Linked DNA regions of Styela clava. The protein of the gene in region 1 binds, or shares a complex with, the protein of each later gene. Links are inferred from orthologs where the notes say so. Each region holds a gene or a part of one and is shown on either strand. Other genes may lie near its edges.

Region 1 (16,441 bases):
ATATAAATAAGATACGTCCAACAGTTAAAACTATACCGGTACCTATTTTCTTGCTTTTGCTACCGATTTTATCTGTAGTGGCTCTTATCCCTGTGCCTTTACTGAAATTAAATCAGTATTTTACATTTATACGAGCAATCCGACCAGAGCAAACCCGAAACGAGAATCAAAATAAACCGCTCGCCGAAATCCTCATGACGTCATATGCACTGAAGCAGAAGTATCACGGAGGTAAACACGTGAAATTTGTTTTCACCACTGTGACAATTTCGTGTTTTGCTGCTGGCTTCACATAGGTTTTGTTTTCACCTGGCATCACGGCAAATCATTGAAAGTTTCAAAGAAATCGGAATGGGATTTTTCGAGGTAAAAACTTTTTCCGGTATGTACAGTTGTAGATTAAATATTTTTAATTAGCACGTGTTTTTCGTCCGCTACGGTAATCAAAATACAGTTTATTTTACTGTTTTTCTAACTTTTAGAAGCTGGAAATGGTAGTGATTGACTTTTAAGTAGTTTTGATACCGGACCTTGAGTAATTCAATGTTTCTTTTATTTTTGTTAGTTATCCTTCGATCGCTTACTACTGCTGTACCGGTACTGTACTACGGTATCTTCAGATCTTACTGTTTTGTATGATATTCATGATCCCACGCAAACTTGTTATGTCTACCTGTTTTTGAAGTTTTATTTACTGCAAGGCCAGTTAGAAAATACTTTGGGGTAATTATTCAATGTATTTACCAATTGGCTTGGTCACTCGCTTGGTGGTAGTGAATAATTTGTTAAGGCATGTGGGGTCTCGTGTAGTTTCGTACCTAACCTACTTCTAGTAGGCGTAGCATAACAATTTTTTGATATGTCAATCCTAACCCCCATCTGACTACGCCATTCAAAAATTACGTCACTACGACATCACAATCACGTCATAGAGCTTGCCAAATATACGTACGATTGCCCGAAATGGCATCGGCGCCGACGATAAAGAACTGACTAACATTATCGATCTCTCTCCTATCGGGATCGTAGCGACGAGAAAACGAGAGAAATAGCTGTTTGATTTCGGGTGCTCGTCTGCGCGTCTTGGATGGCAGTTCGTATAGTTTGAAGGGCTATAATTACGTCACTGTGACGTCGTAGTGACGTAATTTTTGGATGGCGTAGTCAGGTGGAGGTTAGGATTGACAGGTGAAAAAATTGTTGTGCTATGCCCACTAGAAGTATGTTAGGTACGAAACTACACGAGACCCGGCATGTGTTTGCTTTTGAAATTCAATAGGCATATAATCTTCCCATTATTATTACAGAAATCTGATAGACACATTATGACAGTATTGAGGAATTTCGTTACTAAATATAGACAACTCAGCAGATCAAATTTTCTCAATATTTTTGTTAGACATATCACCAACGAAACAAAATCTTGGGAACGAAAATATAAAAAAGTAACAAGAATTGATCTTGAAAAATATTGGAATAAAAAATTGAAAGAAAATTGGGAAAGCAGGACAGTATCTGCTGATGATGGGAAACCCAAATTTTATTGCCTTTCGATGTTCCCTTATCCATCAGGGAGATTACATATGGGACATGTAAGAGTTTACACAATAAGTGATACCTTTGCAAACTTTTATCGTATGAATGGATATAAAGTAATGCACCCAATGGGTTGGGATGCTTTTGGTCTTCCTGCAGAAAATGCAGCAAGAGATAGGAAACTCGACCCTACAGAATGGACAAAAAGTAATATATCATATATGAAGCAACAACTTAAAGATTTGAACTTGACTTTTGATTGGGAACGTGAGTTTTCAACATGCGAGTCTGATTACTATAAATGGACACAGTATATATTTACAAAGTTATTTGAGTCTGGATTAGCCTATCAAAAGGATGCTCTTGTGAATTGGGATCCTATTGATCAAACTGTATTAGCAGATGAGCAAGTTGATGAAAATGGTTGTTCTTGGAGGTCTGGAGCAGTTGTAGAGCAAAAATATCTGAAACAATGGTTTTTTAAAACATCAGAATATGCAGAATCCCTACTTGACACTTTAGATGAAATTGATGAAGATGTTGGGATTAAATCCATGCAGAGAAATTGGATTGGGAAAGTCAATGGATGTTACATGAACTTTTCTTTAATAGTAGATGGTATTGAGAGACCCATCTCCTTTCCAGTGTTTTGTACGAACCCTGAAGCAGTATTTGGTGCTTCGCATGTTGTTTTGCAATTTAAATATAAAAACGAACTTGCTCATCAACTTGGAAGGTATGGCGCGGAAAATATGAAGACCAAATTACTGAGTATGTCATTCCCAGATGATCCTATCGTGCTTAGTAACTGTTTTGTTAAAAACCCATTTAATGACGCTAAATTGAAAGTTATTTTAAGTGATGACTATCTGTCAAAACATGATAGGCCAACCGCAATATTATGTATTCCAGACATCGATGAGATTGCAAAAAATATTGCTGACAAATTTAATTTTGAATATAATAATGTTGTCAGTAGCAATGGGTTATTGTTAAATTCAAAGGATTTTACCGGTCTTTCTCAAAATGAAGCGAGGCTTAAAATATTAGAACAATGTAAACAACTTGGAATTAATAGTGGTAAAATGACGAGTAGCAAGCTATGTGATTGGTTGATATCTCGTCAAAGATATTGGGGAACTCCAATACCGATTATTCATTGTCCTGTGCATGGACCGGTCCCTGTTCCTTCCAAAGACCTCCCAGTTAAACTTCCTCATATAGAAGATTTATCAATGAATACCGGTGTTTCCCCTTTGGCATCTGTACAATCATGGGTGAATACAACATGCCCAAAGTGTGGGGCTCAATCGCATCGAGAAACTGATACTATGGATACTTTTGTTGACTCCTCATGGTATTTTTTAAGATATACTGACCCACACAACACAAAATTGCCATTTTCTAAAGACATAGCTGATAAAATGATGCCCGTCGATCTATATATTGGAGGGAAAGAGCATGCAACACTCCATCTATATTATGCCAGATTTTTTAATCAGTTCCTTGTGGATCAAAATCTGCATTCACATAGAGAACCATTTAAAAAAATTCTGGCTCAAGGTATCATTAAAGGACAAACACATCAAGTTAAATCAACCGGGAAATATATTCATGTATCAGAAGTTGATAAGTCCAGAGACGTTCCTGTCCTAAGAGAAACCAACGAGCCAGTTGAAGTCTCGTTTCAAAAAATGAGTAAATCTAAACTCAATGGAGTAGATCCTGAGGACTTTGTTAATGAGTGGGGCTACAGTATAACAAGGCTATATGTGTTGTATGCTGCTGCACCATTCGAAGACATTCATTGGGATGTAAAAACAGATGTCATACCTGGTGTTATGAGATGGCAGTTGAAGCTATGGACTTGTGTTACAAAGCTACTCGATGCTAGGAATAAAATTCCAGAAAACGAGGTTAATTCGGGTAATCCTCCTATACAGCTTCTCCATGAAATTGAAAATATTGTTCGAGATACCAATAAAGCAATCAATGATATAACAAACCACTATAAAAAAGACTGTGTACTCAGTGCTGCTATCACTTGTCTAATGACACTTGCAAAATTACTATTCAATGTCCCAGAGGATATTGTTCAAACCAGTCCGGAGTTTGAGAAAGCGGTGTGTGCTCTTATTATAATGTCAGCGCCAATGGTACCTCATTTTGCATCAGAACTGTGGTCAGGGATGCAACTTATGCCCTATAAGCTTACAAATCATAAATGGGAAAGTGATGTTTTGAGCCAAAACTGGCCCCAACCAGACACAAGTAACAAATTCCAGCTTATTGAATATAAAATCAAAGTAAATGAAGAAACTTGCCATTCTATCAGACTTCCTGAAGACATAGATTGCGGTCTAACTGAGGTTAAGTCCTCTATACTGCGACATAAAAAGGTGAAAAGGCGTTTGAAAGGGAATCAAATTGAAAATTTCCAATTTGACAAGAAAAATTTTGTTATTCATATATCTACTACCACTGAAAAATAATGGTGACCGTACATTTGAACCCATGTACATTTGAACCCATGCGTATATCCACGGGTTCAATCTATATGCGGGTGCTAAAACCCATGGGTTAGGTAGGGTTAGCAAAAAAAAATACATAGGTGCAATAGCATACAGGTGCAATTGCCATGGGTTCAAATGTACGTGGGTTCAAATGTAATGGAACCAAAAATAATATATGCTTCTAAAAAAATTGTGGAATTTATGGTTTGAATTTACAGGGAGGTATTGGTGTATACCCATAGTTTCAAATTTTCACATGTATCCCATGACTAAATCCCACTTTATTTCAGATAATCTCCAGCGAATAGTACCGGTAAATATTATCGAGGCAATCCCCAATTATCTATAAACTGCTACATAAATTCCAAAGACAGCACAGTTCATTCCTTGGAAATGGAATTCTCCTTGGAAATTGATTTATTGTTGTATTCCTCAAAACAGTAAAATGATAGAACATTATTAGGATGTATACATTTCAGATTTTTTCCAGAAAGGTTTGGGAGTGTTTATGTTCGGCTGAGTGGACAGGCGGCTGTAAGTTATGCAGCAATATTACAGTGTCCAGTCAACAGGCACTCAAAACTGATATTAATGAACAACGTATTTGAAGCTACATCCATGGTTGAGGGTCGGACCTCTTTTTGAAATGTGAAAAAAATGTTTTTTTCAACATACATATCAGCTGCTTTAAGACACTCAAAGACTCTTGAAAACCCACATCGTCAGAGTCTTTTTTTTTGTTAACTTGGCAGTTAGGGATTTTACAACCACCACGCGTGTAAATTCCTGGCTACAGCCCTGGCTGCAGCCACCCTCTTCTCTTCACAAAGTTCTGCTTTATGCATTAGTGGTAAAACTTCCTCTAAATCAGTGGTTCCCAACCTGGGGGTTGCAACGGGTTTGTGAAGGCAAATCAGTAAAAAATAATACAAAGCTTTAGATTAAATATTGTCAATAGAACGCGAAGAAGTCTGGAATGACCCTAGATTTCCACTACCTGTTGTGAGACCCCAGAAAACCAAGCGGCGCAAGATGTTTATGGTATCTTAACCATTGTGATGTCACACGAACACGTCTGCATTTCCGCGCCGCAATGTGGTAAACATGCGGGCTTCGAAGAAATGCTGTAGAACACCAGGATTTTGATACAAAGGGGTATTTACTGCGGGGTAGGCTTGTAGTCTATGTTGTTTCTTTGTGGAGATTATCATACATCCTGCGGTAACGTTATAATTCCGGTATTTTATTTACCATGGCGAAGAAGCAACAATATGAAAATGAAGTTATGAAAAATATGAAAGCAGCTTTTCAGCTCTTCTTTGTATCGAAACGACGGCACAGAATCGGACAAAAGTCGAGGATGATATGAGATTAGCTTTGTCAAAAACTCAAGCACGAATTATGCAGTTGGCTACGCGGTTCCAATGCCATTTATCACAGCTTGATGAAAATTTATATTACACAATATTCACTTTGCCGCTTATTTTAGTATAGGTATAGAAAGTGAGGTAGGGGGTCGCGAACCAAAAAAGGTTGGGAACCACTGCTCTAAATGAATCATACTAATACACATAATTGCAATTCTGTATTCCGTAGCGAAAATTTAACAAAATGTTTAGGTACACATTTTCAGAAAAGGATAGGATTGTTTGTGATCGGCTCAATGGACAGGGCCTGAGATAAACCGCATTTAACATTTTTGAGGAACAATTAATACATTATAGGATTTTTAAAACAGCGTCGACCATCTTCGCTCAATAATTTTCCAGAACTCTGCATGAGAGCAGCTACAAACACTTAAATATATGACATCACCACATTAATTACAATAAATAAATTATGTCAAAAAATATTGCAAATCAAGATCTAATGCTGATGCTGGATAAACAAGTTCAAAATTGGTGATAACTTCTGGGTGTAGAACTCCCATCTTTCCTACAAATTTTCCATTTATCATAACATCAGCACACCGTCCTGGGAAGAAGGCAGAGTTCTCAGCAGCCTGGATCTTGTATTTATCTGGTCCTAAGTCATCTGATGGTTTTATATCCAATAATTGCATGATTCGATCAAGTAGGCCATGGATTACTTCAAATCCAGGGGTTTTGTTGTAGTAAATAGCAGCCAGGTGTCTTCTGTTCCTTGATCCTGTATCTGCAGTGCTATCCTTGAAAATAATATCTTGTATCTCGAAGAGTTTCATCGGGAGTGGCATGTTTCTGTTAGAAGCAGCAGTTTTTAGTAATCCAGGTAGAAGAGAGGTTCGTGTGACTTGAAATTCCAATGTTTTTGGGTTGCTGATGTGAACAGGATGGATATCTTTAACGCCATCCCGTAATTTTCTTCCTACATCGTCTTTCGAGCACAAAGCAAAAGACAAACCTTCTGTGAATCCAGCTGCAGCCATATCGATTCTCAATAAATCTGTCAGCTTGTTTAGTTTAAACTGAGCTCCAATAGTAACAGATTTAGGAAAGGTGAAGGCAATGTTGTTGAATCCATATGCTACAGCACAGTCTTCCATAATATCACAAGCGTGCATGATGTCGGATCTTGTCGGGGGAATTTCAACTTCAATTTTGCCATTTTCTGGTAAAACCTTAGATTTCAAACACATTCTTGTTAGTGAATCAGCATGCTGTTCTGCACTTTGTTTGATGCCGATTTTATTATTGATATATTCAGCAGAAACAGTTTCTTTTCGATATTTCAATTCCGGTGTGATGAGTTTCTTTCCATCCGGTCTTGTTATTTCAACGGGTTCAATTATAAATGGTTTATCGCAATATTCCGAGTACATTGCTACAATCGTATCCAGAGTTATTTTTGCCTTTGTCAAATCTGTCGCTGTGATTTCAATAAATATATTTTTGGTGTTCAAAGTGATTTTTGAATGTTCACCGTTTATGATTGGGGGCATCGAAAGTACGACTCCATTACTATCGTAAATTATTGGATAAACAGGTTTGTCACGAATAATCGGCAAATATGACTTCAAATGACTCTCCTTAGAGTACAATTCCATCAACTCAACAGCAGTGTACTCTTTTGTTTGGCCGAGAGCTTTGAATTTTATATCTGTTGGCTTTCTAGCATCGTATAAAAACGGACCTTGTATTGTGTCCAAGTCATGAGTGCCGATGGAAACAAGGCTACGCTTTCTGCCAATATTTTGGTGAAGTTTGTCCTGCAAGTCAATGAAACTTTCATATCGTTCTTGTGTAAAAGAAATGTTTCGTAAAACAGCTGCTACTACTTCTGCTCGAACTTCCAGTGTGGCATGTGATTGGTTCATTTTTATCAAATCAGGAGGAGAGGAGCACACATAACGAGGGGGTTCAATCTGTTTTAAAAACACTTTGAGACCTCTAACAAGGCCTTCCATGCACAACAGGTCGTACCTGTTAGCGGGGACATCAATTTTATATATAATGTCATCTGAGGCACCTTCTGCCTTTGCGTCCCCTTGCTCTTTTTGTATCTGCTCCTTCACGGACGTAACTTCATCAAGTTCGAGACCATATTCGAAACATAGTTCATCAAATTCTTCTTCCGAATATTTTTTTCCAAGCCATTCATGCAACAAATCCCGATTCACACTTATAGTCGGCATTTCCGAACATTAATTAACGCCTAAAACACTCGCAAGTCAGAATCAGCATGTAATGTAGATGTGGAACGCTTGTGGAGTTTATAAAAATGGGAGGAACCGGAGTCATACCAGTGGCATATCCATTTTTGAATATATTTTGATTCCTTTATAAAACGTCGTTCTTTATAAACAAAATTTAAAAATGTTAGATATAATAAATTAATTTACAGGGCTAACCGCTATTTATTTTTTAATTGGTGGCATGTCAATAGTAATTGAATGGTGCCACAATATCACATTTCCCAAAGTTGCATCATCTTTTAGGCCACGGGTGGGCAATTACTTTTCTAAGTTGGCCAGCTACAAAAAAATAGACCTGGTTAGTGGCCGGAGTCTCAAAACTCAATATGAGAAACTATGAATAAAAAACGGTTTATTCACAACATCTAGTTAGTAGAATGGACCTTTCCCCGAGCATCGATTTCCTTGTTTACTTCGTGACATTGGCCAATCAGCAAGATGCAAAAAGTGACGTAATAAAGCTCCCTTTTCGCATCCGCTCAGACACTTTTCTCACTCTGACAGATTTTCAGGCGTGGTCGTAAACATTACCTCATTTTTGCGTTTTTGAACTCTATTCGTTAGTTTTCTGTTGTGTTTCGGAAACTTAGGTATAAATCGGATAATTTAATGATCACTCTGTCTCCCTAGGAGTTTCAATTTAATTGCAGTAATAAAAAATTTATGTAGAAATAGCTGTAATAGACTAGGCTAAAATTCTCTACCGGTACTTTTAAAAAACAGATTGTTGAATGCGATGAATCATAATGATGGTTTGATACCCCATTTTACAGGCGCCAACTCGCAAAAACACTCTTAAAATAGCCCCGAAGATATTTCAATGGTAAAGTATAAAAAAAAATATTTTGGGGTTCAAAGGTCGGAGAAAGATCCATAGCTAGGCTAACGTTTATAATATAATAGAAAGCGCAATGTTACAATCAGGGTCGTTATTTTCAGCGGAAATTTGTATCCATAATAACTATAGTAATTTCAGCATAGACAATTAGGCTGCCTGAAACACTTCGTCGTGCCGCATCCGGCCCGCGGGCCGTAATTTTCCAAAGCCTGTCTTAGGCATACCGCGCTAACATGATTAATTTTGGCACACAACACACCAGAAAAACATCACAAAAAAACAAATTTAGAAATACGTGACCATCAGAAAAAACACAACCCAGAAGGAAATTCGAGATCTACAATGATAATGAAGACTTCAATATTTACACTTGCCACCTCTCACAAGCGCACGTATAATTCTGAACACTAAATCTAATCTCTGCTCAAATTCGGGCGTTTGAACTTATGACAAGCGAGATCAAGTGATTTCACTGAATAAATACTATTACTGACAATTCATGATGTTTTGTGGTAATCACATTACCATATGAAAGATTGTTAAGTGACGAACCCCTGCAAGAAAAATTAAAATTGAACACAGACTCGGTAATTTGTAATAATTCATATTTAATGGTAACCATCGCCAAAACACATAATTTATGTATGTTTTCAAAATGAAATAAATTGCAAGAAACTCGGTTAACTTAACATAATGTGATTGCAAAATTGTAATGTCTTGGTCTTGTCTTTAATATTCGTGATTTTGGGACGCTAAATTAAGTACCTATTTACTTTGTGCAAAAAACTTTTATAGCTACATAGACATAGTACTGTATACCTTCAAAACGTCAGTATTTTGTCCCCAAATTTTTGACCTAAAATGAAATTTATGCATTTCCAAGTATTGCATGTCCTGGAAACTTTTTGATTTGATAACTTTTATTACCTTTATTGCAGACCTAACAATTCCTTTGGACTTACAATGCAATTACTTACAATTAAAATATTCCGGTGATTTTGTCAATACTTTTTAAAAACTAATGCCATAGTAACCCGAAACAATAAAATTAAGCGTGTGTCGGACGGGTTCGTATTGCCTTTCCGAGAATTCATACTAACAAAGCTTTTTAAACAACGGGATTAATTCTCGGTTTAATGTTTTTAGGCTAGGCTATAGCACAATAATATGTCGGTTCCAGTATATTTTATACTACTTTTATATTTTGATTTGAATACCTTCTCAAATCTCGATTAATGGATGAATCAGTCATTTGCGGTACTGAAATGATAGTCATGGAGAAACCGGCCCGATTGATTGATTGAAAAAAATTCTGAAATTTCATCTAAGAACTTGACCTAATATCTTCATAAGATTTTGTGTTTCATTACAAGTATTTCACTGATGAATTTTGCCAACGTGGAAGTTTAGGTGTAAGAAAGTATATATTGACTTGTTGGTTTTTGTTAACGACGAGTAGCAACAGCAGCACATCGACTGCCCAATCCCCCACGTCTTTGGCAGATACTTTAACGAGACAATGTCTTTATTTGTCAGCTCCCAACTTACGATCACGGTACAATACGATAATATACCTAAGTAAAGAACAGGACAAATATATACTAAAAAAAAAATAACCAACGCATGGAATTGGGATAAAATTTATTAAAGCTGGTTAGCTGTGCTGAAATGGCTTGGGGCTATCTGACTCAATTATGTCCAGTGAAAAAAGCAAGAGATTTATATTTCTAAGAAAGTCCAAATTAACTGGTTTGACTTTTTAATATATTTTTAATTTGAGAAACATAGTAAAATATTACTATAATACCAAGATTATTCCTGTACCCGCATACGCTTTTAGTAGCATGTACAGTCGCAATTTCAGTTGTTGCTCGTAAATCATTATTCGGTGAACTTGTGATTATGGGCTTCTTAGATAAGATTTATATTTTAAATTTAGAAATAGGTCCCAAGAAGCTACCCCAGTCTGTTCAGTGTCCGCGCTTCCCAACTTCTCAAGATGAATCGAGAACAACGGGGAATACCCGGGCACACGTGTCAGCGGGAATCCTATGGAATTTCCCTTTCACAAAATTGGTTGGAACTTTTGGTAAAGGGCGGGTGGAATAGGACGATACCGGTAGCTTGCCCGGTTTTATCAGGTGGTGTATCAGGTTTGGAGCCTGCGGCGCTTAGTTAATACAGATTCTGACAATCAGATAGGTACCGGTACTCGTAACATTGTCTTAAAAAGAAGTACCAGCACGTGCAAGCTTGTTAGACTGAATCAGTTCATTGAGTTATCGCACTGTCTCACTGTGCGCACTGACGGATTATGTGTAAGACATGTTCAGATATCGGCGTGCCTGTAGGTGGTACCGCATGTAAACATGTTTGTTTAAACTTTTTCCAATTCACTGATATTGTGTTGTGATTTTCGAGTATTCAATATTTGATTGTGCACCAATGACTGGATAAAAACATTTTTTGCTTTAGAATTGCTGGACTCATCGTTGCCGTAGGGTGGTTTACGTAAGCGCTGGTTGTGGTTTGTCATATAATACGACGTCTTATTGGCTCTCTTCTTCCTGGGATAAATTCCTTCTTTCTGGCTGTTGTCGACTGTTGGTGAGTGGGCGCATGACATTTTTCATATTTTAAACTTCATTAAATGTTTTGCTCGCTCTCAAAAAGTTTCCATTTTTATTTATCTCATCTTAAAAGATGAAAGAGTAGAATATATCTCTAATCAACCCCAGGTCTCATTCAACTCCCTTGTATAGGAGTCATTGAGACATCAAATTAGCTTATTATAAGAATTGCATTTTACAGCCCTAACACAAAGAATGGCAGACCCTATTTCTTCTTATTTTTAAAGTCTGCCTGTACGGCCAGAAAGTCAAATAAAACGTTAAAATACATTTAATATATAGTGAATTTAAATGACTCAATTAAAAAATTCTTGTATATCCATCCATTTTATTTGAACAGTTTTGCATGTGAATCTTTTATACATACGCAACTGTAACATGAGCAGTAATTTTTTTGTAGACTGTTTTCATATTGGTTGACAAAATAAAATAATAAATCTTTTGTTTATTTTAAACAGTAAAGTTGCGATTCATATTATCATGGATCTCACAAAAGAGCAAATAATAGAAGTATTAAGAAATGCAGATGCTGTTTGCCTTGATGTAGACAGTACATTATGTCCCGATGAGGGCATAGATGAATTTGCAAAATTTCATGGTGTTGGCGATGAAGTTAAAGAACTTACTAACAAAGCAATGGGCGGTTCTATGACTTTTCAAGAAGCTCTAAGAGAAAGAATAAAAATAATAAATCCCACTTATATAAGATTGAAAACATTTTTACAACAAAGAACACCAATTGCCACGCCCGGAGCAAAGGAACTCATCGATAAACTTCGAGAGCGTGGATGCTACATTTTTCTCATATCGGGAGGATTCACGGAAATTATAAACCCCACCGCAAAAATGATTGGAATTCCAAGAGAAGACATACTTGCTAACAAGTTCTTGTATTATTACACTGGACAATGTGTCGGCGCTGACGAAAGTTTACCAACTTGTAGATCAGGAGGAAAAGCTAAAGCAATTGAAGAATTACGTAAAAAGCATGGCTATAAAAAGATTGTTATGATTGGTGATGGAGCAACCGACCTAGAAGCTTGTCCACCAGCAGACGCTTTTATTGGTTTTGGTGCCAATGTCGTAAGAGAAGTTGTGAAAGAAAAAGCAAATTGGTTTGTGTATTCATTCCAAGAGATTTTAGATGAATTGAAGGATTGAAATACTTTTATGGTGATCGGGTGATATTAAATAACTTCTAACCCTTATGGGCAGTCACGCTCAACCTACGCTCGACAGTTTAGTGCTGATGCGATAACAAAATGTATAAAAACTGTGGTCTTGACTTCCACGGAAATATGGGACCAAGTCCATTTCTATACGAATAGACAGATAGACTTCAACCTAACTTGGAAGGAAAAGAGGAATCTAAAAATGGTGGTATCTGCTTTTTCTTTATAAGACCAAGTTATCTCAATCTTCCATAAGATATTCACCAATGCAGTAGCAGTTATATTTTTATAGGATAAATAGTGTTCAAAAATTTTGCTGCTTCCGCTTGTGATAATGGGCTGATTTAAAGCAATTCTAATTTGTCATAATCTGGTGTAACGTTGATGTCCTGGCGTATATATATTGAAACACCGGTTTTAAACAGTTGGATAGCCAAAATGAGTATATTATCATTATCTATATTTTTATGGGTTAATTTTAAATTGCTAAAATCTGTCGCACCTCAAATGGGGGGAGTAACAATTTTTATAGTCAACATAGCTATTTTAACTTTGTTTTAGAGGGCATATGTGAAAACGTTTCACGACCATCCCTTTTCTCTATTCAAAAGCCCAGGTATTGTTTTATTTACGAACTGCTTTCTCATTTTAAGCCCAATATAGGTAATTTATTTTTACTTGAATTTGTTCGGTATTAAAATCATATATATATATATACATACAGTGTGTGAGTGTCTTATATTCAAGTTACCTCTATTGGTTTTACAAAACAGACGACAGCAGGTCTTTATCAATGCAGATAAATATGGAAAATTTATCTCCTTTGTTGTGTTTACAGTACAAATTCATTGTCTTAATTATATTTTTCTGGGGTAGTTTAAATTGCTAAAATCGGTCGCACATGAAACGAGGGAGTGGCCATTTTTGTTTGGGTATAGTTGATATGGCTATTTCAACATTGTTTTAGAAGGCATATGTAAAAAAACATTTTACAACCATCCTTTTCAGTATTCAAAAGCTTAAAAACTTTGAAAGAACTAGAAACTTTGTGGTTTGGCATAATACCAAATTTGCTACACCCTGAGTGAGGTGGTGGAAATGTGTTTTGAGCATTCACTCATGGATATGATATCAATGTAGAATTGGCAATATATTGCGCAATTTTTTTTATTGTGTCGTCAACACTACATTCAATATTGACACGAATGTAATATTGTCGATGGCGCTACAGTTCTTTTCATACTTGTTTAACTCAATGTAATTTACCTTGGCTTGGTATTACAATGATGTCTTGGGCAATACAATACTATTGTCAATAGCACTATAGTTGTTTTTATTACATTTACACACAAAGACATTTTGCTTTTATGAGTCTGTGTGCCTTTGTATTTTTGTGTATTCACTTTCAACAGTCACTCTAGAGTAGACAATGCTTATTTATTTTAAGGAAGATAACAATTCAAAATTTGAAAGAGTGAATTCTCTTCAAAGAAAATTAATTTTGATAATAGTCAATATTCCACCTGTCCGCCTATAACATCATTTTTTATTCTCATAAAAGGGTTTCTCTCTTTCATATTGCATCATTTCAGTGTTGTTAATTATTAAACCATATTGTGATTTCAGAATAAAATTCTTTTCTCTGTAATGATTGACTTCGCTTCATTTGAATTCATTGATCACTGGTCGTTATAATTGAGGTATCTGCTTGAAACTTTGAGAGAGAATAAAAGTAGAACGGTTCATGACTTGTACTTGCGAACCATCAGGGCATGAAACTTTACTCTTGCTCAAATTTATTTTTGTCGTGGTATAGAACTCTCAACCAAAACTGGAGCAAGTATTTTTTAGAAGAGTCGTATACAACCGCTCAAAGAGCTGTTTTGGAGCTTTTATTATATATCTAATAGGATATACTCAGTAGAATGTTTTGCCAAATGCTCATCTACATAACAAGCACTATTGTAAATTTCTGTGTATATGATGAATAGGGAAAAGACTGATAAATCTAATTCCAGCAAATTAGTTTAAAAACAGTTATCCACCTTTTTGGGGAAAAAAGTTTTATGCTTTGAATATTTCAAAATGACAACTGAGCTCAGGAGCGGAGCACTGCAGTGAGAGTTTGTGATATTTTCGAAGATCGAATGAAAGGTTCAACGGTAATTAGAAAAATGTGTCAAGTCATAATAATCGAAGATAGTCCAAAACTTGAGAACTATATATAGTGCTATATGCTTTGTATGTTCCACAACTCATTTCAGCAAAGATGATCAATATTCAAGGGCAATAACTGTTGCTTCTTAGCTATCTCATAGTCATAAATTCAGTTCAACTGATTTGTATGTCTGTTATTTAAATTAATATTTGCATGGATTTGTAGAGTGTAGGATATCTATCATTAAATCGATATGTCGGGGCGTGGTGATGTTGATGTTAAAGGGCATCAGATTGATGAAATACTGCATGGGTTTTTTGACAAAGTAAGAAAAAACGTTCATGCACATCAAAAGCAAGTCTCGCTCGACTTCCAAGAAAGTTTGAACGAACCTGTGAAAGAAGAACTCCCTCGTTTATTTGAAATCAATGTTGCTTCATTTTACCAAGGAGAATATTTTGCTAAAGAAGCTAATGATTATAAACCATTGCAAGAATTTTCAAGAGAAACTCAAGAAAGAAATTTTCATACTCTGAATGCTGAAAGATTGAGTAACTTGGGGGAAATTTTTCTTTCAAAACTCAGTGAGTATAAAGATTCGGAGAAAGTCGATTTTGAAAATTTACTCCGTCATGTGATGATATTAGGTCCAGCAGGATCAGGGAAAACAACGGCCTTAAAGCGGTTTGGTCGTGATGCGCTAAATGGTGAAATTTCATATATACAGGATGGAGATCGATTTATACATATTGTCAGATGTCGAAGTTTTAAAAAAGATGAGAAAATTACGGTGCGAGAATATTTGTTCCGATATATGCATAGTCCACTTTCAGATGATGAAAGTAGAATCGGATACAAATGGGTACTTGAAAATTCTGAAAAGGTTGTCTTAATAATCGATTCACTGGATACACTCGGTTATGAGTTGGATGATGAAACTGAATTGATTGAACCTTGGGATCATGCTTGTCCATCAATCATTCTCTACAACATTTTTATTGGTCATATCCTCAAAAAATCAAAAATTCTGTCTTCTTCGAGGGAGTACAAAGTGAGAAATTATGGTGGAAAATTGCGTCCTGATAGAATCATTTCTCTTGGAGGTCTTAGCCGTGAATCGATTCAAAATTTAGTATTTGGATTCCTGAAGGAATATGACGCCGAAAGAGCCTGGGAAATTCTTGATAAAAAATGTCCAGATTTGATGGCCCTTTGTGAAATTCCAATGTTTCTTACATTTGCCATGGTTGTACTAGCTGAGAAGGAATACGAATCTTCTTTTGTCCCAAACACAGGAACTGGTATTATGATAAACCTCTTACAATATCTTTTGCATTCTAAGCATGCTCGAGCATTTGGGGAACATGACATTGAATATGTAGTCCATGCTGTCAATAAGATGAAAGAATTGGCTTTCAAAGGAACCATGAAAGGAAAGGTTATTTTCAGCGAGGTAGATCTGACTGAAGTTAAATTAACCCCGAACGAAGTAACAGATCTTGCTATTGTTGTTCCTGGAAGTCTAAACAAGGAAGAGCAATATCAGCAGATATTGGAACGTGATATAGAAGCCATGTTTGCTCACCAGATTATTCAGGAGGTGCTGACAGCACTGTTCATTGGACAGAAATCTGAAAAGGATTTTTCAGAGTTTATCTCAAAGTATTTACATACGCCTGAGTTCTCAGTTATCAGAAGAATGCTGAATGGTGTATTTCTGGACCCTTTGGTTTCAGACACCTTAGAACAACTTCTTGAGGGTGAGTTAATACATTTATTGCATTACATCTATGTAAACACAAAAATTTATTCTTATGCCACATTTTCACGCACTTCTTACCCTGACCATACCTCTGTGAAAGCTACCACTGGTATTATAGCAATTATATTTTGTAAAGATTGGAAATTTCTTGATTTGTCA
Region 2 (15,625 bases), on another chromosome or scaffold:
TTTTGTTTGATATGACGGATGATAAAGAAGTTGGATCGATACAGGTGATTAGTTTGAGCTGGATCTATGAGTTTGATATTTATCTCATATGCAGTGGCTTAGTGTGTGTAAGGGTCGAGTATTTGATGATGATGCATTTGGGTAGGAGTTACATTACTACTCTTACCATAATAAAACCGTACGTCGATATGCCAAAATGTTTCACTTTGTATCACTGACTTTGATAGTCTTTTCGCGGCCCATTGTACATTTTTTTGATGAATTTATTTAACTTTTGTTCATATATATGAGGTTTGTTGCACGATGAGAATAAATATCCGAAACTGTTAGCTTATCCCATATCGAATTAAAGGTGAAGGCAATCGTCAGATGTATCATTAAGCAACCTTGTTTTCTCTTCAAAATTCCTCCGTGAAAACCTATATTTAAATAAAAAAAAAGTTTGCATATGAAGTGAACTATGAGCGAGAAGTGAAAGAATTCTTTTGTATACCAGTGCTGATTTAATCTGTTAACATGTCTTCTTCTTCTTGTTTGAAGTGCATTGTATGGACAGATATAATTTATTTAATGTATGATAAATTATATCTCGAAATGTTAAACTGAATTTGAATAAATGTTAAACACCTCTTTTTCTAAATTTCAGGGCCACGAAGGAACCGTCAACTATCTTACATTCCCAGATAAGAAATTTCTAATGAGTACGAGTGATGATGGAACAATAAATGTGTGGAGAGTATCGGCGAAATGGGACAAAGCGAAATGTCTTCGAGGACACAAAGGGCCAGTCACATCATTTGCAGTACACCCATCTGGTAAATTGGCCCTTTCTGCGTCCCCTAAAGATGGCACACTACGCACTTGGAACATGATATCAGGGAGGCCAGTTTATGTTAAGAATATGAAAAAATTTTCACCAGAAATCGTAAAATTCAGCCCAGGGGGTGAACATTATCTGATCACGTCTAAAAATTGTCTCCAAATTTATGAATTAGAATCCGCGAATTGTATTGCCGAAATTGAATGGAAAAAAGCCATTTTAGCTGCCGAATTCATTTCAAATAAACTCATAGCTGTAACGGGGGAAGGAAACGAAATTCACATTTATCAGACAAAAAATGGCGAGAGTGTCACAAAAATAGAAGCACATACGTCAAGAGTGAAAGGTCTTCACAGAATTACTCCGCCAAAGTTTTTGATTGACAGCGACACTGATAATTCTATAATATGGCTAGCATCAGCGTCCAGTGATGGCCATGTCAAAATCTGGTCTGTGGACGAACAAAAGTTAACGGATGAAAGCACGAGTGTCCTGAAATCCCCTCCTTGTGTGTTAGATATTGACACAAAAGCAAGGGTTACCTGCTTGACTTCGTGGGAAAGTAAAACTTGATTTTGGTTTCCCTATGTTGTTTTAATAAATGATCAATCATGCATGGTCCTTAGTTTCTCTCTATAGTCATCTAAGCCAGGGGTATGCAACCTATAATACAGTAGGGCCAGAAAATGTGAAGTTTACGCCGCGTTTTCACCGAGTGACAATGTGTACATTATTCGATTCATAGCAGGGTGCTTAATATTGAATTGGCCAGGGTTTCATAATCAATTGTTAATACCGATACAGAGATCTAAAAGTAGCTCAATGATTTAAAATTTTAAAACATAGGGTACGATGGCGTTTGGCTTGTGCAAGTGAAATTCTCATTACTGATAGAGCTATTTTTCAAGCTGCGGTGACAATGTGTGACACTTTGCTACCATAAAAATAATATTCTCACTAGTTGGACATTGAGCGACCATTTTTCACACTGGAAAAATTATGTTTCTGTACATAGCTGGGATAATATCATGACCCCTGATAAACAATGCATAGAACCCAATGGTTAGTTAAGGTCAACAATCAGCATGCTTTTAAGTTTTAGGCAGGGGCGGACACTTTCCATAATTTGGGGGGGGGGGGCGAACTTGGATTGCCTACCGAAAAACACCGCGCCGTGTATCGTCACGTAACAATAACCTGTCGATGTCATTCTCTAAGTATTAGCATGTCATTTTGCTACTCATATATCGATTACCTAGGCTGCTTTGCTCGGACACGGAACTTGCGCGTCACTGAACCAATTTCTTGAATTCCGCGAGAATTAGCCCACGGCTCTTGCTAACAAACAGAAAATAACAAATTTGAGGAGTCGTATTAGGTTATTGTTTCAATTCCTAGTTCTGCATAAAGCGCACTAACGCCGTTTCGTAAAATTAGAAATGCAAAACAAGGTAACAAGCTATTGTGCGAATTTTTTTCCTAAATTTTACCAAGGAGTTATCATTTGACTAGTAGAATTGCCATTATTGCCGATTTATTAAATCATCATTTGAACTCGAAATAACATTCAGGATTCACGCAATGACTTGCAGGGTTTTTATTTATAATTTAATACGAAAATAAACAGGCACAAGTTCAGGCGCGCAGCCAGGATTTAAAAAAAAAGGCGGGGTCAAAGTCGGAACTTCCCATTGCCGTCTGCAACAAGCACCGCGATTACGCGCTCGTTAAAAGAGCCGCCTATTTGAGCGTATAATGATTTTTCTGTCAATTCATGACAGCCACGAGATTCTAAAATGTCCTTATATATTAATTTATTTGTGTGCAACGTAACTCGCGGTTGCGACTTCTTACGTCAAAATAAAAATATTACTAAACTAAAGTACCACGGCGATATGTGTACATAAAAATATGAGATAAGCTGCCTGATGTATTTAATTTTAATACGTATTTTTGCAATCTTCCGAACTCGTTATCGCCGTTACAAAAATCTCGATATCTGATATAAAATCCCATATAGTACAATTTTAATTCATACAATGAAAATAATTATAAACTATACTAGTAAATCAAAAATACAAATTCACCGCCTCGAAATCCACGCGGAATGGTCGCCGCGATTACGCCACTTGTTAAAAGAGCCGACTTTATCAACGAAAACTGATTTTTCACTTGTGCAAAGTAATCAATCGAAGACCGATACGGGCATATTCAAAATGTCTTGATTTATTAATTTAATTGTCTTCAACTTAAACTGCGGTTGAGTCGACAAAACAAGAGCCACTCTAAAACACGACGGCAATCCGCGGACATAAAAATGTGTGGTAAACTGCCCGTTTATATATTGTTTTGATCCGTATTTTTGCTATTTTGCGCATTCGATAAATTTGAGATGTACTTGTCTATGGTGGCCCATCGTTGTCACGTGTAAAATTTAAAAAAAAAATGAAAAAATAAAATAAAAAAGCGAAAATAAAAAAATAGTTGTGAAAAAACATGAAAATAATTAAAAAAAAAAAATAAAAAAAAATTTAAATTAAAAAAAAAAATTGAAAAATAAAACAAACAAAAAAATTAAAAAAAAAATTAAAATTAAAAAAAAAAATTGAAAAAAAAAAAAAAAATTTGAAAAAAAAATTGGATAAAAAGAAAATAAAAAGGTTGACAACGATGGTCCGCCTCGTGGCCCATCGTTGTCACGCGTTTTTATTTTTAGAAAATTTGATGCTGCTTGGGACCAACGTTTTCAGACTTAATCCTACACGCACAAATGTGTTTCCTGGGTTTCTAACTCACTACTGATTTTCATGACCAATATCCAATAAATTCAACATGAAAATGTTCTACAAATTCTCCATGCTACAAGTTCAACCACAAGCAATATATTTATAATAAGGATAAGAGAATATAGAATTGGATACGAAAATTTGTTTTTACGTGTAGAATGTAATTTAATCGGAAAATGCTGCTTAACTGCTCAGACACTCGTGCGATGCCGGTACGGTATCGTCTGACCGTACCGGTACCCATGCAATCACTCGTGAAAGAATGGGAGATGATGAGTGATTGTATGGCTACCGGTACGGTCAGACGCAAAGCGACTATAACCGACTACCGGTATTTGGTAAGACGGTACGGTACCGGCATCGCGAGTGTCCAGACAACTGAGTAGTTAAGCAGCATTCTCCAATTAAATTACCTTATACACGTAAAAACAAATTTTCCGAATTTTCGTATTCAATTCTATATTCTCTTATCATTATTATAAATATATTACTTCTTGTTGAACTTGTAGCATGGAGAATTTATAGAACATTTTCATATTGAATATTGCTCAAGAAAATCAGTAGTGAGTTTGAAACCCAGGGAACACATTTGTGCGCGTAGGATTATGCCTGACAACGTTGGTCCCAAGCAGAAGCAAATTTTCTAAAAATAAAAACGCGTGACAACGATGGGCCACGAGGCGGACCATCGTTGTCAACCTTTTTATTTTCTTTTTATTCAATTTTTTTTTTAATTTTTTTTTTTTTTAATTTTTTTTTTTTTTTTTCGTTTCTATTTATTTATTTTGTTTTAATTTTAATTTTTTTTTTAATTTTTTTTTTAATTATTTTTATGTTTTTTTACAAAAAAATTTTTATTATCGGTTTTTTATTTTATTTTTTATTTTTATTTTCAATTTTACGCGTGACAACGATGGGCCACCATACTTGTCACACTGGCTCCGCTCAATCGCAATGTTGTCACTCCGATTATTTTCGAAGATAAAACCTTTCGAAAAATCCGTAAAGTTTCTGTCAATTCTCACGTAGTAAAAGTTATTTCAGTACAATAAAAATACATAAATAAATACAAAAAGTGATCGAATATACTTTAATTATCTTATATATCATCACAAACCGGGGAAAAGTCGCGTCCTCAGCTTTGTTTAATGTTAACAAGAAAATTTTCGACGTCAATTTAAAAGTAAGGGATAAAAAGGCAAATCCCGCTCACAATTGCCCGTGTTTCGATTTTAGTGACGAAATGTTTTTAAAGGTCAAGCAAACATAACTTGTGCCGTAGGCACATTTTCGATGCCTAGAAAAGCGTTTTTAGACTGTCGCGGGCCTCAACAAAACTTATATTGTTTACAGTTTTATTTTTAGTATTTTATATTGCCACTTTTCAACTTTTCGACATAGTAAATGCTTTGATCTTTGCCCGCAAATTATGCTGGGCCTTGCACGAAATCCATAACGTGAAAAGATACGTCCAGCGGTGAAAATTGTTTATAACAACTTTAGATCTAGTTAATTTTTTAGCGATAATAATTAATTGTTGTAATGAAACACAGTTTGCCACTTTCACTTCTCTCGCAAGTGCCAACAATAACACTATTGAAAGATTTTGACAATGAGAAAATCATGTTAAATTGTACAAAAATGAATTAGTTGTGTAAAACCGTGGCGTGTGATCGGCGGTGCGTTTGAAGACGGAGTATTACCCATGCGGGCGCGCATGTTTCACAAAATTGTGAGGTGCTCGGAAGGCGATCTGGTCCAAATTATTGTAAGAAAACATTTATAATATCGGTAACTATTACCGTTTAATTGCGCTTGACTATCGCACTTTTCGGAAATGATAATTTTGTAAGGCGGAAACAACATGTATTACATTTTTTTGCGAAATTATTGGGGGGGCGACCGCCCCTGGTTTTAGGGGATATTTCCACATTGAGGGGGTGGTGTATATTTTGTTGGTGATAAAACATGTATTTGACTGGAGCATTTGCACCGGCATATATACGCCACTTTGAATATGTAAGTTAAGAAGACCATCTCAATTTTAGGGGGGCAATAGGGAAATCAGTGGTAAAGTGAACAGCTGTTTATTCTTCTTCTATTCAATAACGCCAAAGCATTGGTTCATCCTGACCAAATAACTGTATGTAGCTTCAAGATAAAACAAAGTTCTAGATTTGATAACATTTATTTTAGTTCACCACAACAATGAGTAAGACTTCTACAAAGTTTCAAACTTTTTCATAAATAAATGATTGCAGCAGGTTTAAATACACATAATATGATCATTTGTATAACTTTATTGTCTGCTGCAAAGAGGTTCAGGATTTGAAAAATTGGGAATTGTTTTTATTTTGCTTGGTTGAAAGATGTTTATATATAGAATGCACAAAATCAGATCTACACAAAATCCGTACGTCTGCTATTTGCTTATTGAGTGGTGAATTTTGTTGCATTTCAAATAATTGTTTACATCAGACAAATTGGTAAGCCAAAATTAAGCTTATATATTTACTTGGTCTGACGTAATACCTAGTCGAATAATATTCATATGAAAGCCGTTGACTATTTAAATAGCATTTAAAAACTTTAACATTGGCATATGATTTTCAAACATAGAGACAATAACATATGGGAACAGAAATACAACATTGTAGAAGAAGAAAAAAATTAAAAAGGTCGGGTGCTATTCCTGAAAAGCAACACCTAATAAAGTTGTAGAATGGTGGCAAAGCAGCAATCTGAATCCCAGGCTCCAACGATCTTTTATCAAACAAGGTTCCTATATTCGTTCAGTCTCGTGATGTAGTCTTATACCATGATATAGTTAATTGCACAAAGCTGTTTATTTAATCAAAAGTCCATTCTACAGACAGGGTTATCTTGTACCATTTGTAAATTGATTTTATGGCCGACCAAATCCCTGATATTATCTATACCATATTTTATCATTGTCGGACGTTCTAATGACAAACCCCATGCGATAACATTAACATCTTCCGGAAGGCCCATTGGTAATAACATTTCGGGTCGGAAAATTCCAGAATTTCCAACTTCTACCCATTTTTTGAGTCCTTCGTGGTAGCTGAATATTTCCATTGATGGTTCAGTGTATGGGTTGTAAGCTGGCTTGAAACGTAACTTTGTAATACCAAGTTTATGAAAGAACGCTTGTAGCACTCCCATAAGATCTCCAAGAGTTACGCTGTAATCTGCAACTACACCTTCCACTTGGTGGAACTCGGCGAGATGAGTTGCATCCAAAGATTCGTTTCGAAACACTCTATCTATTGAGAAGTATTTACTGGGTTTAAATCCTTCTTTAGCAAGTTTATACAGCATCCTGGCGCTCACAGCTGTAGTGTGAGTACGAAGTAAATTTTTCTTCGCTTCCGAGTACTTCCAGTCGTAACAATACCCTTGCGAACCGAAACCACCTTCTGAGTGAACTCTTTTAACTTTTTCTGCATAGTCAGCTGGAAAAGTGTCACACTCCGCAGGGTCGGAAATGAAAAAAGTGTCATGAGCGTCTCTAGCTGGATGTTGCTGAGGTTGGAACAAGGCGTCAAAATTCCAGAATGAGCTTTCTACATAATTATTCGTTGGCATTTCTGTGAACCCCATTTCAAGAAATATTTGTCGATAAACAGATCGTACTTTCAAAAGGGGATGCAAGTGTCCTGCTGAAGGTTTGATACCCATCGCAGAGTAGTTGTAATCTTTAAAAGTTGTTGTTTTCCATGAGCCATCTTGTATCATTTGAGCTGTGAGATCCGTTGCTGCCTTCTCAATTTTCGTTGTGAACTTTTCACCTTTCGTAACATCAAAACTCTTTATAGTAACTTCCTCCACTAATTTACGTTTTTTCAACTCCGCCCTATCTTTGTCAGGAATGGGAGATCCTTGTTTTATTCTTGATAAATTATCTCTAACAATATCAGTTGGGTTTACGCCATCAGCGACAAAAATCTTCGGTGCGCCACCCGATTTGTCCACTTTGATCCATCTATTAGACATCGCCTTGCTGAAGCCAATTTTATCATTTTTATCTTTCACCAGTTCAGATTGCGCAATACCATCTGCTGGAACTCTTTTGAAAATATTAAACTCATAACTTCCACTTGATTCGAGCTTTTTACCCTCGGTTGAGAGAACCCAATTTTTGTCTGTTTTCTGTGAGGCGTCTATCACGCCTTCATGAACTTGTAAGCTTTTTATTAAACCGACAATTTTTTGATGTTCCAAATTTTTGGTTTTTGCGTATGAAATTGAGTTGACACGTTCATTCAATTCCAAGAATTGCAATAACTCAGTTGCCATATCTACTTCTTTCTCAGTCATATTTACTGAATAGTGCTGAAATGAATTACGATAAGTTGTAATGCACTAGCGACTAGCCTAGTAAAAAAAAAGACATTTCATTAAACCAATGGCAGAATGGCACAGCTCCAGCAATAATTTGCTTTCTATAGGCTCTGCATAAACTTTCAATAGACTTATAGAGTTATGCTCGAAGAGTCAAATATATGGACACGAAAAAATAATACTGTAATAGCCTTCTAGCGAAAAATACAATTTTCAATCACTGAAAATTGCAAAGCAATTGGTGATCCAGTTGGTAAAAAAAAGTCATTTTTTCATAACGATAAGAAGAAAAATACCGAGAAAAACAACAACAAAAAATAAAACGATGCATGGATCCACTTGTGTGTCCAATAAATACTACCGCCTGCCTGCATGATGTAACACTTCGAAATTATGAAGTGGACACCCTACTCTCCAACGTGGATAAACATTTGAATGTACCAAATTTATCTCCGCGAGTGGGCGCAAGTGACCATTGTGCAAGGAGTCGTATCCGGTTGCTTGATTGTTCATTTTTCGTGAATGTTGCAACGGAATTGTGCATCGAAGGTTATAACACGAAACTTTGCTTATTTTGATGAGTTTTAAAAAAAATTGGCAGAAGATGTCGTTTTACCACTTTTTTATACTTGTGTTCAAAGTTGAATTTTACAATATTTAGAAAGTTTTGGTCTAATTATACATAAAATCCAATCTTGCGAGAGGCAAAGAATAGCTCAAAAATTAACAAATATATCTATTTAAAATATAGTTAGTCATTTTAAGCAGGCTTGTTTATATATTTACGTTAATATAAAAATTTAACCCGATATCACCATCCGCAATTTGTTGAGGGTTTCACTAGGTGGCGACATTTTTGCTTAGTAATACTGATAACATTACTCGGCATAATCTGAGTTGAGCGTTTTGTTGTAGTCTGCTGTTCTGCGCTTGAATACCATTGATAATTTCTCTTGTACAACGCGATTTTGGGAAATAAATAATGGCGTCCGAAGGTAAACTAGAGAAAATGGAAGTTGATTACTCAACAACGGTGGACAGGGTAATTCCAGAATGCCAACAAGTTGCAGCGGTGAGAACTGTTTTGCATTGTAGCAGAATTTAGGATTTTTTCGTTTTGTAATAGATTCCTGTGTTGCTATTTCATTATCCAGGTCTACTTTATTATAATTTACGAGCCATGTTCACAACCACTGTATTTCGTGCCAATCATCTTTTGTTTATTAATTATCACCAGGTAAGACGATTGCCTTACCGATATCAAACGGTAAAATCTTATCTAATCTTAAACCATTAGTGTTTTTGTGTTTCCTGATTCTATTCAGACCCCTTGGACAGTGGTTCTTAATGTATGGGTCGCGACCCAAACATGGGTCGCGGAAGGTTTAAGAATGGGTCGCGACAAGGTCGTCAATCTAAGAGGAGAAGGACGAACTTTCAGCTTTCCCAATGTTTCAATTTAGCTTCTAAACTCTGGTATTTAAAAATAATGAAATATAAAATTTCATTCACGGGGAGAACTGTCTTGAGCTCATTGTTACATCACAATTCTGATATGCCAGTCACGTGTATTATTTTTATGGTATCGGTAACCATGCACGTCGCTTGTCGTTGTGTTAACCGCGTGGAATGTCGTCGTAGTGGATTAAAATAACCAAAAATGGGTGTCTTTTTGGTAATGTAAATTGTAATAGACGACGCAATGAAAAAGCTCGCTTCTCGACATTGGATTATTCAATATCTAGAGAAAATGTGACTTCTCGAGGCACCATTTACTGCGAACGAAGCAGTGTGTGCACATTTGATGAGGAAAAAAGTTGTATATTGCGAGAGATACCGAAGGCCAGCTAGGATGTCATGTTTGCGACAGACAGCGGACACCTTTTCTGCAACAATTCGCGACAAGGCACTTGTGCGAGCGAGGATATTTGGCACTGACGGTTATCAAAACTAAGCTCGCAATTGCCTCGATACCCGTGACAACTTGCGTATTGCGTTAAGTAAAATAGAGCTGTGTATTGAAGATATAATGAAAAGGAAATTTCAGTTTCATCAATCTCACTGAGTCAATGGACTGTTTCTAATAAATAGTTGTCTGTATTTGAGTCAAACTGTACTAACATTAAAAACACATTTTGCGTTATTTAGGATTGGGTCGCGAGTATTCATAAAACTCAGATTTGGGTCGCGCTCGAAAAAGTTTAAGAACCACTGCCTTGGAACAATTCTTTCAGTAGTCGCATGTTTCTTTTGTATTATCTAGTTTCGGCCGTATTATTTGAAAAATGAGGTTTAGTAATTTTTGCCTTTTTACTTTAGCGATAGATATTTATTTAGACTACTATTCTGTATTTCAGGATGGAAAACTCAATGATGCCGTGGATAAATTATTGGCACTAGAAAAACAGACAAGATTGGTGAGTAGGTTAACGTTTGCCTAAACCTGTAAACCAACTTTTCTTCGTTCTTATATGACTGGAAAGAAATTATATATTGAAATCCGTCGATAATTCTGAATGCTCTTGAACTTTCCTTCACAGCTGTAATGTTTATGCAAATATGTCTGTATGTGTCATGATATTTATGTCTCCCCAGACCTCACAAAGTTCATTTTTCAAACTTGAAAATTATTCTGGGAAGTTGACTAAGATTTTGCAGCTCTTTTTTTCTGACTCTTTTCCATTTTGATCCTGAGGCAATTTTTTTGAGGCGTTCCAAAAATGATCATATACACAACAAATAGTTTTGTAATTTCGACTTTTTTTTAAGGCTGGTGATATGATCTCGACCGGGAAACTTCTTGTGACCATTGTGAAACTCTGCTTTGAAGCAAAAGAATGGGACATGCTCAACGATAATATTATTGTCATCACGAAGAAAAGAAGCCAACTCAAACAAGTATGTTTAGATGTTTTTGATAAATTTTTCTCTAGACAAGGCTTTGACCAGCACACATTTATGTATAAAGAATGAAAAAGACAAAATTCTTTTATAAGGGTAGGTTCAGCTCACTCAAGTTAATATACTTATATATTTATTTATATGCTCAAATGATTGCTGTTAAAAAAATATCAAATTGAAAGAAAAAATGACAATATCTTGTGATGATCGTCCGAAATAACTTCCTCCCTCACTTTCTATAATATCTACTATAGTTATGCACAAGTATTTGTACAGTTTTGATTAATTTATATTATATGTACATAAATAAGTATTATAGATATAGTAATAATGATAATAAACAACTAATAAATATAAATACTATAGCAAATACAAGGCTAAATTTCTCTCCAAGAAGAACAAAATTCTTCCAGGATTTCCCAGTTGGGCAACGTATGTTTCTAAACCTTAACTTTTTAAGTCTAGTTGAACATTTTTGAATCATAAATGACTTTTATTACTTATCGATCTTAAGGTTAGTAATATGTTGATAGGTATTTGTCTGTCTGTATGTCTGTTTGTCTGTATGTTAGATGCACGCGATATCTCACGAAAGCGAGGTTGAATCTGCTCCAAATTTTGCATGTGCATTCATCATAGCTCGGATCAGAAGCCTATTAATTTTGGATGGATTATGTCTTATAATTAGCGAGTTATTAAATAATTAGTGATGGGACACACAGTGTCACTATGGAGTAAGACCACTGTTTTTGGGGAACCCCTAACCTTCGATTGATAAGTCTTCGGTTTCTAACCGATATTCTAGTTTTCCTTCTTATTCAAGTTCTAATAAATAGTAATTCATTGCATATGTCTATGTATTTCATTATGTAAACATGTCGCCCCTTGTTAAAATTTACATTCGTTTTTCAGGCAGTTGCAAAGATGGTTCAAGAATGCTATAAATATGTTGATCAAACACCTGATATGGAAACTAAATTAAAATTGATTGATACATTGAGAACAGTAACTGAAGGAAAGGTAACAGATTTTGAATACTTTTTTATTACTATTGAAGTATTACGAGAAGTATTTGGTTTAGCTTATTATAAGAAATTTCTAACAGTGACAATTTTTACTCTCATAGAGCCACTAGTAGTTTTGTTCCTAGGATATTCACTTCAAGCAATTTGGCCTTAACAAAATAAAAGGAGTTAACTTGGGTAAAAATAAAATCACCTCTTTAAATCTGTTTATATTGAGTTGAGTTAGGTCGTCATCCTACCTTTAAACTTACCTATTGTAACCAAAGATAACAGAATAAAAACTTAGCGAAATAAAAAATTAGCTGTGTCTTTTTATTTGGGTAGCAAAGTATTGTAAATGTTAACTTGTCTAAAATGAATATTCATCAATTAGTTTTCCACAAGTTTTTAGTAGCTAACAAACTGATTCATTTGATTAAGTGAAATTGGCTGTGCATTCATATCTGAAGTAATGAACTCTTCGTTCTTTTTTTATTTTGTTTGAACTTTCGCAGTGTAATCAATGGCAAATGTGTTTACAATGCTTAGAGAGACGCTCCAACAGTCAAGCTGGCTGTTTTTTGAAACCTTATTTTTCAATTCTTAGATTTACGTTGAAATTGAAAGAGCAAGATTGACAAGAATTTTAGCAAAAATCAAAGAAGATCGAGGTGAAATTGCTGAAGCTGCAAGTATACTGCAGGAATTACAAGTAAGATAATTGCTGATATTTCAAATCCAGAACTTTATAGTGATGTTTTCAATTTAAATACATTTAAATATTATCAATTTATCGGTGCCTTTATCACACACTTTATAAATGTGTTATTTAATATTAATTTGAGATGAGCTTATTCCCCCGAAAAAAATATTCATTACAATTAAAAGAGAGGAACAAATTACACGAGCACTTTGCCATGACCCCTACGACGACCAGGGACGCAGTTTGATGATTCCTGGTTTAAAACACATGGTAAATGGGAATGAAGGTTCATTTCTTTTTAGTAGGCTGTGTATGCCATTGATAAAAAAGAGTCAAAATAAGGGCATTTCTTTTAAATCTTCTTTTTTAATTTTTGATTTCTTTCAAGGCAGACCTAAAAACTATCCTTTATATGGCCCTACTCATGTGACAGAAACAATATTATGAATAAATTTTTCTTTCATTTGTTGGAAATCATTCATTTTACTGTCATTTACTTTTTGTTAATATTTCACTTTTTACCTAAATTAGCCCTGAAGCATGACTCAGGTGATATAAATTACAAATCAAATTTGTTGGTTGAAACAATTTATTTCACTGTATTCTATCATTTTATCTTTATATTATTAATTAAAGTTTTATGTGAAATTTTTTTTTTTCAATAACTACAATACTTTATCTTTCGTTGTCCTAATCTTAGGTTGAAACATTTGGAAGTATGGAGCGTAAAGAAAAAGTTGAGTTCATACTTGAGCAGATGAGATTATGTCTTGCAAAGAAGGACTACATTCGAGCTCAAATCATCAGCAAAAAAATTAGCATCAAATATTTTGAATCTGAGGACGAAGAAATTCAAGTGAGACTCGCTGTTTTTGCAGCTCATATTTCCGGAAATTTTTTATATTATCCCCCATCTCTTTCACAGATATCCATGTAGTCAATTTAGATCTAACTTTGGCCAATTCCGGCCTGTTGGGTGATTCATTCTGACTTGCCTGAAAGTTTTGTTAGCGTCCTAATAAGGTCTTTTTAATGTTATTTTTTGTTTATAGCTCATGCACTCTTACCATTCTGTTCATAAAATGTAATATTTTACGTCACACTTATATGGCCAACTGGTCTGGCCGCTGGTCCAAAAATCTTGCTCACTTCTGATATAGATAGTTTGCCAAGGTCATCTGATCCCCGTTGCGGCAAGAAAGAAGCGTGAAACCAAGTTAATTGTGTGAGACTATCCAAGAATACACAATTAAATTATGTATGGATTCAGACTTTCATAAGTTCTATTTCAGCCAAACATATGTAAAACAGTATAGAATCGTTGCCATAGAGTCGGGCCTATGAATTTTTTTTATCACAAATTGATTCTTCACATTAATGTCATTTGTGTTGTTGTGTTCTAAATCCAGATGAAACATAATTCATCCTCGTTGGTTAGGCACATAAATTGATTTGCATTGGATGAGGGTCCGTAAAAAATGGGATTTGCAAACGGGTCTGCGGCCTAAAAAGTTTGGGAAACACTGCCGTAAAGTAACACTCTACCCACTAGGCCTGACATTAATAAACTACGCGTGCCAAATCCAGCCCGTTGGGTAATTCAATCTGTCCTGCCTGATGCTGCCACAACCAAACTAAAACCAAATTTTGATGTTTTAACTAAAAAATAGCTCAAGGAAATTGTTGAGATTGTGATTAAACTTAGTTTTGGCACGAGGCCCACACCTGCACTAGACAATCTACTAGTTTAATAAATTTCGTCCTTTTTTTAGAAACTGAAACTACGATACTACGAAATGATGATAGAACTGGACTTGTCAGAGAATTCCTATTTATCAACTTGCAAGCATTTTAAAGCTGTTTACGATACACCGCTCATTCAGAATGATCCGATGAAATGTCAACAGGTATATTTGCTTCATTTTTTTAATGGTTTATTTGATATTGGAAAGGGGGGGCTCCCGAAGTATGCGAACCAAGAGGGCGGACATCGGAATGTAATATGTGTACTAGGTTAGGGTTAGGCCATAATTTTAGGTATAAATACTACGGGAGGCTCTTGGCTAGTCTTAGAACTGATAATAGGACTAAAATAAGGAAAATTGGAAAAAAATTATCGCCTAACCCTAACCTGTTACCCATGTTACGTTTCGATGTCCGCCATCTTGGTTCGCATACTTCGGGAGCACCGAAAAGGGTCAGGGTAAGCAAATGGAACGGGAATCTTGGCAAACTTTTGCATGTAAAGGTTGTCTTGCAATTAGCAGGAATAGTGGTGAATAGATGGTCCCGATTGACATATGGTTTGGCTCCACCATTGAGGCTTATTGGGATGCTGTAAGCCAGGGCTACCCAACTATTTTTACCGAAGGTCTGCATACAAAACTTCAAAAATATTTAGGTCCATCCTTTCCAGGAATTATATTTCGGCATCCTTAAACACGCAATTCCTCGGCCGACTAATGATAAGATTGTTTGGTATGGCGTTATAGTCCTTTTCATATATATTTTAAATCTATAAAAGTGATTTCATAAAAGGAACCTTCAAAAGTGGGGCTAATGATCCAAAATAAGGATTTGTGCGCAGTCTGAATCGAATACCCGAAAGGTCCGATTTTGGACCGCGGTCCGCCAGTTGAGTAGCCCTGCCATAAGCAATGGCTGGTTTGAATTTGAATGCAAAAACTCCTTGCTTGAGATTCATGTGATATTGTAAACCAGGGATGGCGAACCTTTTTCAATCAATGGGTCAAAAAAATTTTTTCTATTGTCCAAGATTAGGGGTTTTGAAAATGACCACACCAGCCTGGAAATTAACAATTTGAATATCAGCGATCGCAGTCCTGATTACCCAACTGACGGTACATTAAAAGAGTTTAGTTATTGTTAGATTCGATCAAGGCTGGTTTTATCAATTTTTATCACTGATATATTAGCATTTTTCTATTATATTCGTGCCTTGGCGGGTCACGAATAAAACGCGGTGGGTCACATTGTGGTTCGCCATCCCTGTTGTAAACTATGCTTCGTCTGATCTCAATAGCGT

What was found.
Region 2: the proteins of phenylalanine--tRNA ligase beta subunit-like (region 1) and phenylalanine--tRNA ligase alpha subunit-like are in contact, whole or in part, in a crystal structure (PDB 3L4G), measured with the Homo sapiens proteins. The link is inferred for Styela clava from reciprocal best matches to the Homo sapiens genes FARSB and FARSA. Residues at the interface, in NP_005678.3 of Homo sapiens: Glu26, Phe29, Gly32, Leu33, Pro68, Ala69, Asn70, Ile150, Arg152, Asp259, Thr261, Lys262, Arg305, Lys316, Lys317, Val318, Gly319, Ile359, His360, Cys362, Asp363, Glu366, Ala369, Ile370, Tyr374, Asn375, Ile377, Gln378, Met379, Thr380; in NP_004452.1 of Homo sapiens: Ser221, Gly222, His223, Leu224, His225, Leu227, Leu228, Arg231, Ser232, Arg235, Leu239, Gly242, Phe243, Thr244, Glu245, Pro247, Asp249, Asn250, Phe251, Ile252, Glu253, Ser254, Phe263, Gln266, Gln267, Phe277, Phe278, Leu279, Arg280, Asp281.

The regions. Positions count from the first base shown.
Region 1 is NC_135256.1:5,857,490-5,873,930, reverse strand, and holds phenylalanine--tRNA ligase beta subunit-like, read right to left. Parts: upstream 7,857-16,441; 5' UTR 7,663-7,856; coding exon 5,887-7,662; 3' UTR 5,616-5,886; downstream 1-5,615. Other genes in the region: putative leucine--tRNA ligase, mitochondrial, read left to right, coding at 352-366, 1,308-4,028; phosphoserine phosphatase-like, read left to right, coding at 11,671-12,351; uncharacterized protein LOC120327812, read left to right, coding at 14,774-16,280.
Region 2 is NC_135250.1:4,203,361-4,218,985, forward strand, and holds phenylalanine--tRNA ligase alpha subunit-like, read right to left. Parts: upstream 8,025-15,625; 5' UTR 7,948-8,024; coding exon 6,460-7,947; 3' UTR 5,776-6,459; downstream 1-5,775. Other genes in the region: p21-activated protein kinase-interacting protein 1-like, read left to right, coding at 1-44, 647-1,393; 26S proteasome non-ATPase regulatory subunit 12-like, read left to right, coding at 8,954-9,043, 10,329-10,388, 10,741-10,869, 11,785-11,892, 12,484-12,588, 13,280-13,435, 14,352-14,486.